Caenorhabditis elegans: one gene and its partner. The protein of the gene in region 1 purifies or fractionates together with the protein of each later gene. This does not show direct contact. Each region holds a gene or a part of one and is shown in the gene's direction. Other genes may lie near its edges.

The links. The genes of interacting proteins can lie anywhere in the genome.
Region 2: the proteins of vps-33.2 (region 1) and Y95B8A.4 fractionate together in Caenorhabditis elegans (co-fractionation; one large-scale study listed by BioGRID). This does not show direct contact.

Annotation. Positions count from the first base shown.
Region 1 is NC_003280.10:6,599,188-6,603,964, forward strand, and holds vps-33.2 (Vacuolar protein sorting-associated protein 33B), read left to right. Parts: upstream 1-2,028; 5' UTR 2,029-2,136; coding exon 2,137-2,236; intron 2,237-2,286; coding exon 2,287-2,411; intron 2,412-2,461; coding exon 2,462-3,845; intron 3,846-3,899; coding exon 3,900-4,029; intron 4,030-4,077; coding exon 4,078-4,192; 3' UTR 4,193-4,264; downstream 4,265-4,777. Other genes in the region: epg-5 (Ectopic P granules protein 5), read right to left, coding at 1-129, 177-332, 381-458, 508-1,463, 1,517-1,767, 1,813-1,943, 4,265-4,373, 4,468-4,554 and 1 more. UniProt on the Caenorhabditis elegans protein: Plays a role in vesicle-mediated protein trafficking to lysosomal compartments and in membrane docking/fusion reactions of late endosomes/lysosomes.
Region 2 is NC_003279.8:905,918-911,734, forward strand, and holds Y95B8A.4 (Protein EMP46), read left to right. Parts: upstream 1-1,530; 5' UTR 1,531-1,575; coding exon 1,576-1,642; intron 1,643-3,324; coding exon 3,325-3,503; intron 3,504-3,762; coding exon 3,763-3,923; intron 3,924-3,973; coding exon 3,974-4,216; intron 4,217-5,023; coding exon 5,024-5,216; 3' UTR 5,217-5,272; downstream 5,273-5,817.

The DNA of each region.
Region 1 (4,777 bases):
GAGTCAATGGGAGCATCTGAACTTTGTTCTCTGATGATGGTACAGTCATGAGATATGATTTGATAGATTTCAAGCTTCCTGTGGGAAATTGAATCCAATGAAGAAGTTCTGCCCAGTTACTGTCCGTTCCTGAAGTACCAAAAATATAAATTAAGAGATTATAAAATCTCACTTACTTAGGAAGTAGGCACATATAACTTTTTCAATAACTTTCAATGCAGTTGTCAACTGATCAATGTTCAATGAATCGACTAAAGTATTGACAGATGTTAGAACAAGAGGAGAAGTTGGATTTGCAGCCAAATATTCCGACCATATAGATACAAGAGCTTCTGAATTTAAAAATTTGAATAAAGATGTCTATATATAAATTAATTTACCTCCTAGTTTGGCATCTGTGATATTCTTCCACATTGCTGTCAGTTCGCGAGTGACGACCCGGAATTCTCGTAGATTTGCTGTAGAGAAAAATTTAATGAAAAATTGAGTTTCTGGAAATATACTTACAGTGATTCAAGGCTAGTGCATTCACATCCGAAATTAGTGAATTGTAAGCTGCGGGAATTTGTGAGGACTCCGCTTTCAAAAGTAGAGAACTTTCGGTTTGAATCCACAACTTCTGTTTTTGAAGGGATACTTCGGAGAATGGCTCACGTACAACAAAACAACAGATTTTCCTCCATATAACTTGAATTACTGATACCATTTCCACGGGATTTGATAATGAATCCGAGGGCAAACATTTTGTTACAGCAGATGCTATTCCGGCAGCATCTTCCGGATAAATTTTATTCCAGTCAGATCGTAGCGAAAATGATTTGCAAAGCTCCAGCAACGATGCACGGACTTTATCATAATTTCGAGGACGAGCAGCAAGACGAACAAGTACTCCGAATAAAGAAGCCAAGTAGCTTGGTCTACTATCCTCGTGCATTGTTTGAAGAATATTGCTCCACGGAATACGAGCAACCATTTGTGAAATAAATGAAGCACAGTCTTGTGATCTTGTATCCAGACAATTTTCCATTGCTGTTATAGCGAGTCTTGATGGCCATAGAGCTTGCCAATTCAGTCGTACTAGTTGCCGTTCAATAACATCATAATAGTGTTGAGTCCCATGTGTCAGAATAGAAAGTTTTTCACAATAATACTGCCAAACCAATGACTGAATGTTCTGCATTCCAGGTGGTATACTTGAATTGAAATGAAGGGCAGATAGAAAGTCGACGAATCGATCGAGAACGAGCATTGCCTGAGCTTCATGGGAGGTCGAGAAAGGTGGGTGAGTTGGAGAGTATGGGGCGATCAATGGCGAAAATACTGCGGCAACACGGGTGAAATATTCATAACATTCTCTTTGCAGCACTGAAACTGACTTGTTGGGCTCGTATCCATCACGAATAGGCACAAAAAGGAACAGTTGCGCGAGACGAGTTACTGAATCCAAGTAACGAGACCATATTCTAAAAATAGAGTTTTCCAAAAAATAATAAAATGTACGATCATAAACACTTACCCATAGAAATTCGGAAGTTTTGTTCTTGCTTCATCCAATCGCTTAGACAATATTCTAGCACATTCATCAGCTTTGGCAGCTCCCAAGTCAAACGAATTTTTCTTCTTCAAGTAATCGTTTGCATCCAATTTATCAACAATAGCGTCCAAAAGTGAAGCAGGAGTTGAATTCGTGTTACATCCATCCAGAGTCAAGTCAAGTCCATTAACAATGTTATCCGGGAAATGGTGAAACACAAAGAAAATGACATGCTGAAAATAACCAGAATGTTTGTGTGTCTTCTTATATTATTTTACCTGTAAACACAATGCATGAAGTGGAGACGAAGGATCTGGTTGACTGGCAAGATTTGCAAATGCAATTGGCAAAAGAGCGGCGAATTGATGTGGAGGTAAGCCAGCGGCAGCTTGTTGCATGCCAAGGCGACCTGTAAGAAAACTTTTGATGTCTGCGTCTCTTCATCTTATATACTCTTTTCGCTCGTCAAGTATGCTGCCGTGTCTGCATGCATCACATTTCGCGGTTCAATGCAGAACGATAATATTACCACGCAGGAAGACTCAATTTATTTTATTTTATTTCCATGACTATATTTATTTGAAAAGTTCAAACAATCAACCATGGCACCGGGTACCGCCGAGCTGGAAATCGATGAGACTTTGCACTTGCTTCGGATGGTTATGCAAAGGGAATTCATACATTATTTAGAAACATTACCAGGTATTCAAATAATAGTTTTTTTTTCATTTTTGTGAATGTTATAATTTCAGGAACAAAAGAGCTTTTTATCGATAAATGTCTGTTAAGACCACTCGATATGATTGCCACATCATCAGATATGAAACGACACGGAGTGAAACGAATAATGCATTTTGATTTACAGAAATCACCACAGGTAAATAGTGAAGTCCAATTATATTTGGTAATTTTTGTTTTTTCTCAAAGGTTTGGAACATCGAAATCGATCAGCGAGTCTTCTTTCTAAGACCCAACGTAGAAAACGCCAGAAAAATTGTCGAGTACGTGGAAGAGTCAAGCGAAAACCGATCTATTTGTGTGATCTGGTGCAACAGGCAGTTAGAAGAATGCGATCTCGCTTTTGAATCGTCTGGAGTCATTGGACACATAACTCAACTTAGCCTGAATATGTGCCTTTTGCCGTTAGAAAGCGATTTATTTTCATTGCAACATGTGGAATCGGCGCAACCGGATCTTTTCTCTGTTGCCAACATGTTTGTAGCACTTCAAAATTTATACGGAGTAATCCCAACAGTCTACGGATTGGGATCTGAATCGAAGAATTTATGGAACCTAGTTCATGCACTGTGCTCTAGTAACGAACTTCGAGCTCGACCAGATCAACCAATTAGTCATTTATTCCTATTCGATCGTCAACTTGATCCGGTTCCTGTATTGTTGACCGGAGCATCTTACGAAGGTCTTCTTCATGAATTTTTTACCATTGATTGTGGGAAGCTTGCTTTCCCAGTAGATCTACGGAAACAAGTTCAAACTGGCCCATTGGATTTTGATTGGATCGAGATTAATCCGGAAGAAGACAAGGAGGCACATCAACAAAATAGAGGAGATACAGTGAAATTGGATAATTGTGAGGACATTTTTGCATCGATTCGAAACAAGCACGTCACAGCTGCCCTGGAGTTTTTACATTCCAAAGCGAAATCGATACAGAAAAGTATCGAAAAATCATCGATGATTGATGATGTTGCGGATTATAGAAACTTTGTTGAAAAAGACCTGAGAGCGCTCAAAAAGGATCACAAGCATTGTGAATTGCACATTAATGCATGCGAAATGATGATGAATAAAGTTAAAATGGAAGATTATCGAACCATGTTCAAATTAGAACACGAAATGCTACTCGGAACCGTAACCCATGAAGAGTATTTTGATTTTGTTTTTGAAAGAGTTCCGATGAGATCCTGTCGTGATGTGGTTCTATCGATGATGTCACTTGCATCTCTCAAATTAGACGGAGTTCCTGATGATACGTACAACGAATTCGTGGAAATGTATCTACAAAAGTACGGATACGAGCATATGTTCGAACTTCAGAATCTTCGAAATTCCCGTGTTATTTACGCCCGTCGACATATCGCACACGATCGGACTATTTCGGAACGTGCCAGGACATGGGAAACATTGGCAAGAAAGTTCAGAATCGTTAAGGGAAACGAGCCAATGGATATGTCAAATCCTTCTGATATGAGTTATGTTTTCGGTGCAAGAATTTCTCCCCTGCTTTGCAAAATCGTTGAAGATACAATAGATCATGGATGGAATCAAGCAGAATATGAACGAATTATTGGTAAGCAGTTTTAGTTTTTGATTCATAATTGAAACTAATACATATTTCTTACAGGAAAAGATAAAGTATTAGTCGAAGAGAATACATATATTGCGGCAGATCGTCGACCAGATAATCGTACTCGAAAAGCCATCATGGTCTTTGTCAACGGCGGAATTACCTATTGGGAAGTGGCAGCTTTACGGTGAGTACAAATTATAATTACAGCGAAAGAACAAAATGTTTCTTTCAGGCTGCTGGCGATTCAAAAGAACTTCAGAATTCTCATCTGCACAACGCATGTCATCAAAAAGCGAGAATATTTGGAAGTCAGAGCTAAAGACGCATCTTCGGTTTTTGGATCATAACGGGAATTAATGTATAATATAATATGGGTTTAGTTCTTCTGTTAAATAGAATCATAATAAATTATTGCTTACCTAACAATTGCAAAGCCATCTTGCTTCTTTCCGGCATTCTCACAGCGTCCGATAGCTTTCTATACGCTGTGCACAAATCGTCCGAATTGAGCACTTCTGGAGTGAAGACCTAAAATAATTAGATGAATCAAAAGTGCGGTGATTTTATGTTCCGCTTTGTTAATTCCCCCAACAAAACACCACTAATTAGAAATGCGATGTACCTCAACAAGAGGTTCAGAGAGTACAAATCCATCTAATGCCAGTTGCATGACGTCCATTTGCTCTTCGGGACGGAATTTGACATACTCCTGTAATAGAAAATAAATAGATGAAGAAGAAATTAAAATATCGCTTACTTCTCCCAAAGATCGGAGTGAATTACAAAATGAATCAGAAGCAACACTAAATAACAACTCATTCTCTCCAACAGAAGATGTTATAAGATAAAAGAGTGAATGTCCTGTGAGCTGCACATTATTTCTTGTTCCAGGATGCAATGCTGAAGTCATTTTAGCCACTAGAACAGATAGA
Region 2 (5,817 bases), on another chromosome or scaffold:
TATTTATGTATTGACCACACACAACTCTTCTCTCCCGTCTCCGCTGTTCAATGCTACGGTTATTCTCTTTTTTTTTCTTTTTTTTTCCTGAAATTCCAAGGGTGTCGTTGAAAATCGAAAAATTCGAAAAATTTGGGTTTTTTAGAGGAAAAGCCAAAAATTCAATTTTTTTTTCGATTTTTATTCCGGAAAATTCGAAAAATTTCGATATTTTTTAAATTTTTTACAAAAAATTCGAAAAATTTGGATTTTTTCAGGAAAAAGCCAAAAAATTACAATTTGTGTTTAAAAAAACGAAAAAAAAAACCAATTTTTCTGATTTTAATTCCGGAAAAATCAAAAAATCTCGATTATTTTCAGAAAAATTCGAAAAATTTGGGGCTTTTTCCAAAAAAGAAATCGTAAAATTTCGATTTTGTCCAGGAAAAATCGAAAATTTAATGTTTTCTTTTTTGGCTTCTTCCGGAAAATCCAAAAATTTTGAATTTTTTGGATTTGTTTTCAGAAAAATTGGAAAAATTTGGATTTTTCAGGAAAAAGCCTAACAATTTCAAATTTTGCTTTAAAAAAACTTTAAAAAATTGATTTTTGAGGAAAAAACGAAAAATTTCGACATTTTTTGATTTTTTTTTTACCGAAAAAAAAATTGATTTTTTCCAGGAAAAAGCCAAAAATTTTCAATTTTTAAGGAAAAATTCGAACAATTTTGATTTATTGATTTTTTATTACGGAAAAATCGAAAAATTTGGGTTTTTTAGAGTGAAAAGCCAAAAGTTCAATTTATTTTTCTGGAGAAATCCAATTATTTCAATTTTTGAATTTTTTCAAGAAAAATAAAAAAATGTCGATTTTTTCCAGAAAAATCGAAATTTTTCGTTTTTGAATGAAAAAAAATTTTTCCTTCAATTTTTCCTTTAAAAAAAATAAATAAAAATGTTCGAATTTCCATGAAAAAAAGTCAAAAAAATTCAAAATTTTCCATTTTCCCTGACAAAAAAATCAAAATTTTCCGATTTTCCTAAACCAAAATCCCAAAATTTTCTGATTTTCCAATTTTCTCTGAAAAATCGAATTTTTTGCCGCACACCCCTGGTTTCACGTGGTGGTCAGGTTGTCTCATTGCGGTTTGTGATCTACAAAAAATGAGGGAATCTTTCCTCCCCCGGGAAAATCTGACGTCAGCGCACTCGTGTAACCATGCGAAATCCTCTGCTGAAAAGTCTGCGTCTCTTCTCCCGCATTTTTTGTAGATCAACGTGTAGATCAATCCAAAATGACACCTTGACACCACGTGCCTAAGCCCAAGCCTAAACCAATCCATTTTACCGGTATATCTCTACAACCTTTCACTGTCTGAAATATCGCGTCATTTTATATTATTATTATTATTGTATTCGCTTAAACGACAACAATTCCCCCATTTGATTCAAAAAGTAAACATTTCCGAACTTTTTAAAAATTTGAAAAATATTTTTAAAAAATTTTAGCGTGAAAAACTTGTCCCCCCACCCTGCCTCTCCAAAAAAAATTAATTTCGGAAGAATTCAGTCCTTGTTTTTGTAAATTGAGAACGTAATGCGCTTTTTGGTGGTTTTTGCATATTTATCGACACTTGCGTACGCGAGGTATCGATTCAGATTCCGTGAGTTTTTTACAACAAAATATCGCTAAGCAATCGCGCTCCAGCGCGAAACTTCAAAAAAAGGCCAAAATTTTGCGTCGCTTTCTATGATTTTAAGACGAAAAGCGAGGAAAAATCAATAAAAACAGCGAAAACTTTGAAATTTACGGGTTTGCCGCTTTTTTTGCGCTAGAGCGCGATTGCTCACTGAGTTCAAGCGCCCTTCTTATTTTGAAATGGAAGAGTTTGCCGAATTAGGCTATTTTGGTGCGGCCACGGCTGGGGTCAATTTACGGCGCGTTGCGTGCCGCGTCGCGGTTAGGTGGACCACGCCTTTCCCACGCGTAGACGATTGTCAATAGAGCGCCGAAAATGCAAGGCCAGAAGCCCGTATGAGTGAAGTTTTTGTTCATTTTCACTTTTTTTTCGTCGTTTTTAACGGTTTTTATGTGAAAATCAATAAAAACGGCGAAAATAATTAAAAATTTTCGATATTCCGGGTTTGGCGCTTGCTTTGCGCTAGAGCGCGATTGGTCACCGAGTTCAAACGGCGCACTCTGGCTTCCCTCTTAATTTGAAATGGAAGAGTTTGCCGAATTAGGCCATTTTGGGTCGGCGGGTAGATTTACGGCGCGTCGCGTGTCGCCTCGCGGCTCGATTTTGATTGTAAAACTAAATGTATTTGTCCGTGTGGAGTACACGCGACTTTCCCACGCGTTGTCCAGCAGGTTATTGCCAATGGAGCGCCGAAAATGCAAGGCCAGAAGCCCGCCGTATAAGTAGCCCATATGAGTGAAGTTTTTGTACATTTTCACTTTTTGTTTCGTCGTTTTTATGGTTTTTATGTGAAAATCCACAGTCTCCTCGTCATCGAAAGCGCACAAAAAACTGCTTACTGGCGCGTTTCGCGTTTTTGCTAGCGCATTTTGTGGATTTCTCCGAAATTCAGAAATTACGCGGAAAATAGGCTAGAATTCCAAAATTACAGCCCCGCCTCTTTTGATAATTATCTTCAGGATGAAGAAGATGATCGCGAAGGTGGGTGACTTGAAATATACAAGAAAAATATGATTTCTTCAGAGAAACACCATTTTTACCGTTGATTTTTTAATATCCCTACTCCTCCTTCAGTTTTTGACCAAATTTTCTCTTTTAATGGTCTTTCATTTCATTTTGTGCTAATAAACAAATGTTAAGTTCGAAATCTGCGAAAAAATTCGTTTCAACGCTAAAAAACGACGAAGTTTATTTTTCAACACTAAAAAGATTCACTCCCTCCCCCGGCTGTGCCAATGTGCAAGTGCGCCCCAGCCCAATTCGACGCCGAGGAGACTGTGAAATCATTAAAAACAGTGAAAATAACGGAAAATTTCTGAAATTCCGGGTTTGCCGTTTTTTTTTGCGCTGGAGCGCGATTGCTCACCGATTTCAAATAGCGCACGCGCTTCTGGTTTCCCCCATAAATTGAAATGGAAGAGTTTTCGCCGAACTAGGTCATTTTGGCGCGGCCACGACCGGGGTAGATTTACGGCGCGCTACGTGTCGCGTCGCGGATCGATTTTAGTTGTAAAACTAAATGTAGTTGTCCGTGTGGAGTACACGACTCTCCCGTCCGGCAGGCGATTGCCAATGGAGCGCGAAAATGCGAGGCCAGAAGCCCGTGCATTTTTTTGCGGGTCCCGCCACGACATTTACCCTTTCAGACACGTGTATCAAAGAGGACCAGGCGATTTTGGAGAAGGAAAATGTGAACTCGCCACGCCAATTTCTTTTTATCGATGACGGACAATCGCCAAAGTGGAGGGAAAATGATCTCGAAGGAAAAGGAATTCTTATGAGCTTCGGAAATCGATTGAAGAATCTGACAAACGGATATGAGACTGTGAGACTTTTTTTACGGGTCTCGACGCGATTTCCCACGGATTTCGGGCTTCCCTCATAAATTGAAATGGAAGAGTTTTTGCCGAACTAGGCCCCGGCCATATCTGGGGTAGATTTACGGCGCGTTGCGTGTCGCGTCGCGGCTCGATTTTAGTTGTAAAACTGAATGTATTTGTCCGTGTGGAGTACACGGGCGATTGCCAATGGAGCGCGAAAAATTCAATTTGTGTCTCGTAACGATTTTATCGATTCTTTTTCAGGGTGCCGAACAAGCTCTGCGTGTCCTTGAATTCAACAATACGGAACACTTTCTTGTGATCAATTTTTGGATGAGAAGCTACTATTTCATGAAAAACGGTGATAAATATCAGCTGTCATACACCGGAACCACCATCAAACCCGATTTGAATCACTTTATTCGGTTAGCAGGCTTGGAGATGCAATATCGCTCCATCGCAACCATTTTTTCAGCGTATACTTCATCTGCGCTCCAGCGAACAGTCAGAGTGCGTTGATCGTGTTTGGGGATCAGTCGAAACCGCGAGTTTTAAAGTCGAAAAAATCGAAGAGGGAAGCAGCGCTGATTGATGAGAATTCGGGGAAGAAGCTGAAAAAGTGCCAGAAAATTCGGACGAAAAGAGCGGCGGCGGTGAATAACTCGACGGAGTGGACACAGACGCTGAAGGATACTCGGAGACTTAAACAACGTAGCGAGTGAGTTTGTGCCAAACGATACTCCGATGTTCCGCTTCCGCTGAGGACACCGCGTCGTTTGATCTCTGAAAATTGCGAGAGTCAGCCTCGTGTAAGTTTACCGCAAATTTGGAGGTCAAGCAGCGAGGTCCTCATATTTTGAAATGGAAGAGCTTGCCGAATTCGGAGTCGATTTACGGCGCGTTGCGTTGCGTGTCGCGTCGCGGCTCGTGATTTTCGCATATTTATCGACACTTGCGTACGCCAGGTATCGATTCAGATTCCGTGAGTTTTTGCAACAAAAAAATCGCTGAGCAATCGCGCTCCACTGGAAAACACCCGAAAAGTTTTGAAATTCCGGGGTTGCCGCTTGTTTTGCGCGCTAGAGCGCGATTGCTCGCCGAGTTCAAACGGCGCTCTCTGGTTTCCCTCTTGTACGAGACGAGCGTCGCGGTTCGGTCCAGCAGGCGATTGTCAATGGAGCGCGAAAAACACGTGGTGTCAAAGTCTCCAATTATGGTTTGATCTTTGATAAATGCGGGAGACGAGAGACACCGACTTCTCAACTGATTTCGCATGGTTAAAAGTGTTCTGACGTCACATTTTTCTGGAAGAAAAACTCCCGCATTTTTTGTAAATCAAACCGGATTAGGACAGCCGGACACCACGTGGAAAAACAAGATGAGGGAAGCCACAGAAGCCCGTGCAGAGTCTCGGTTTTATCAGTTTTCGAGTAGTTTCGCACCACAAAAAGCGTGTGACGTCACATTTTTCCGGCCGCAAAATTCCCGCGTTTTTTGAAGATCAAACCGAAATGCATTGTTTCAGAATCTACTCTTGGGCACGTCTCTCGTTCATTCACCTCGGTTTCGGTATGGTAGTGATCGTCAACGCCATCGTTTTTTTGTTCTTTTTCAAGTATTTCAAGAAGTTCAACTCGACGGTGAAGAATGGAGATCAGAAGCAGGAATCGGATGAGACTGATGAGAAGACTGAGAAGACTGAGAAGCAGGCGAAATAGAACTTTTTAGTCTATCTGTGTTGAAATAAAGGAATTGAAAAAAAAAAAAAAAAAAATTTTTTTGCATATATGCATGTGGTGTCAGAGTGGATTATTTCGGTTTGATCTACGTTGATCTACAAAAAATGCGGGAACTGATTTTGCATGGTTAAGAACGTGCTGACGTCACATATTTTTTGGGCGAAAATTCCGGCATTTTTTGTAGATCAAACCGTGATGGGACGTCTGGCATCACGTGTACATGTAGAAATGAGATACAACATGTTATGTACCGTTATCCTACAGTACTATAGGTGAACCCCTCAATTTTTGACCTCCAAAAATTGCGGGAATCTTATAGGTCAACTTGCAGGGGGTCGTGGACATGAATAAGCCAAATTCAAATTATTCAAGCCAAAAAGATGATAGCGCAGACACGTGCCCCCAATTTCGGTTTGATCTACTGTGTAGATCTACAAAAAATGCGGGATTTAGGACGCTGAGTTCTCCACTGATTTTGCAACAAATTCCCGCTTTTTTGAAGATCAAACCGGACAACCTGACACCACGTGAAGGAATAAACCACGCTCTTTTGCCAAAATCTTAAGAGTTTCTACAATTT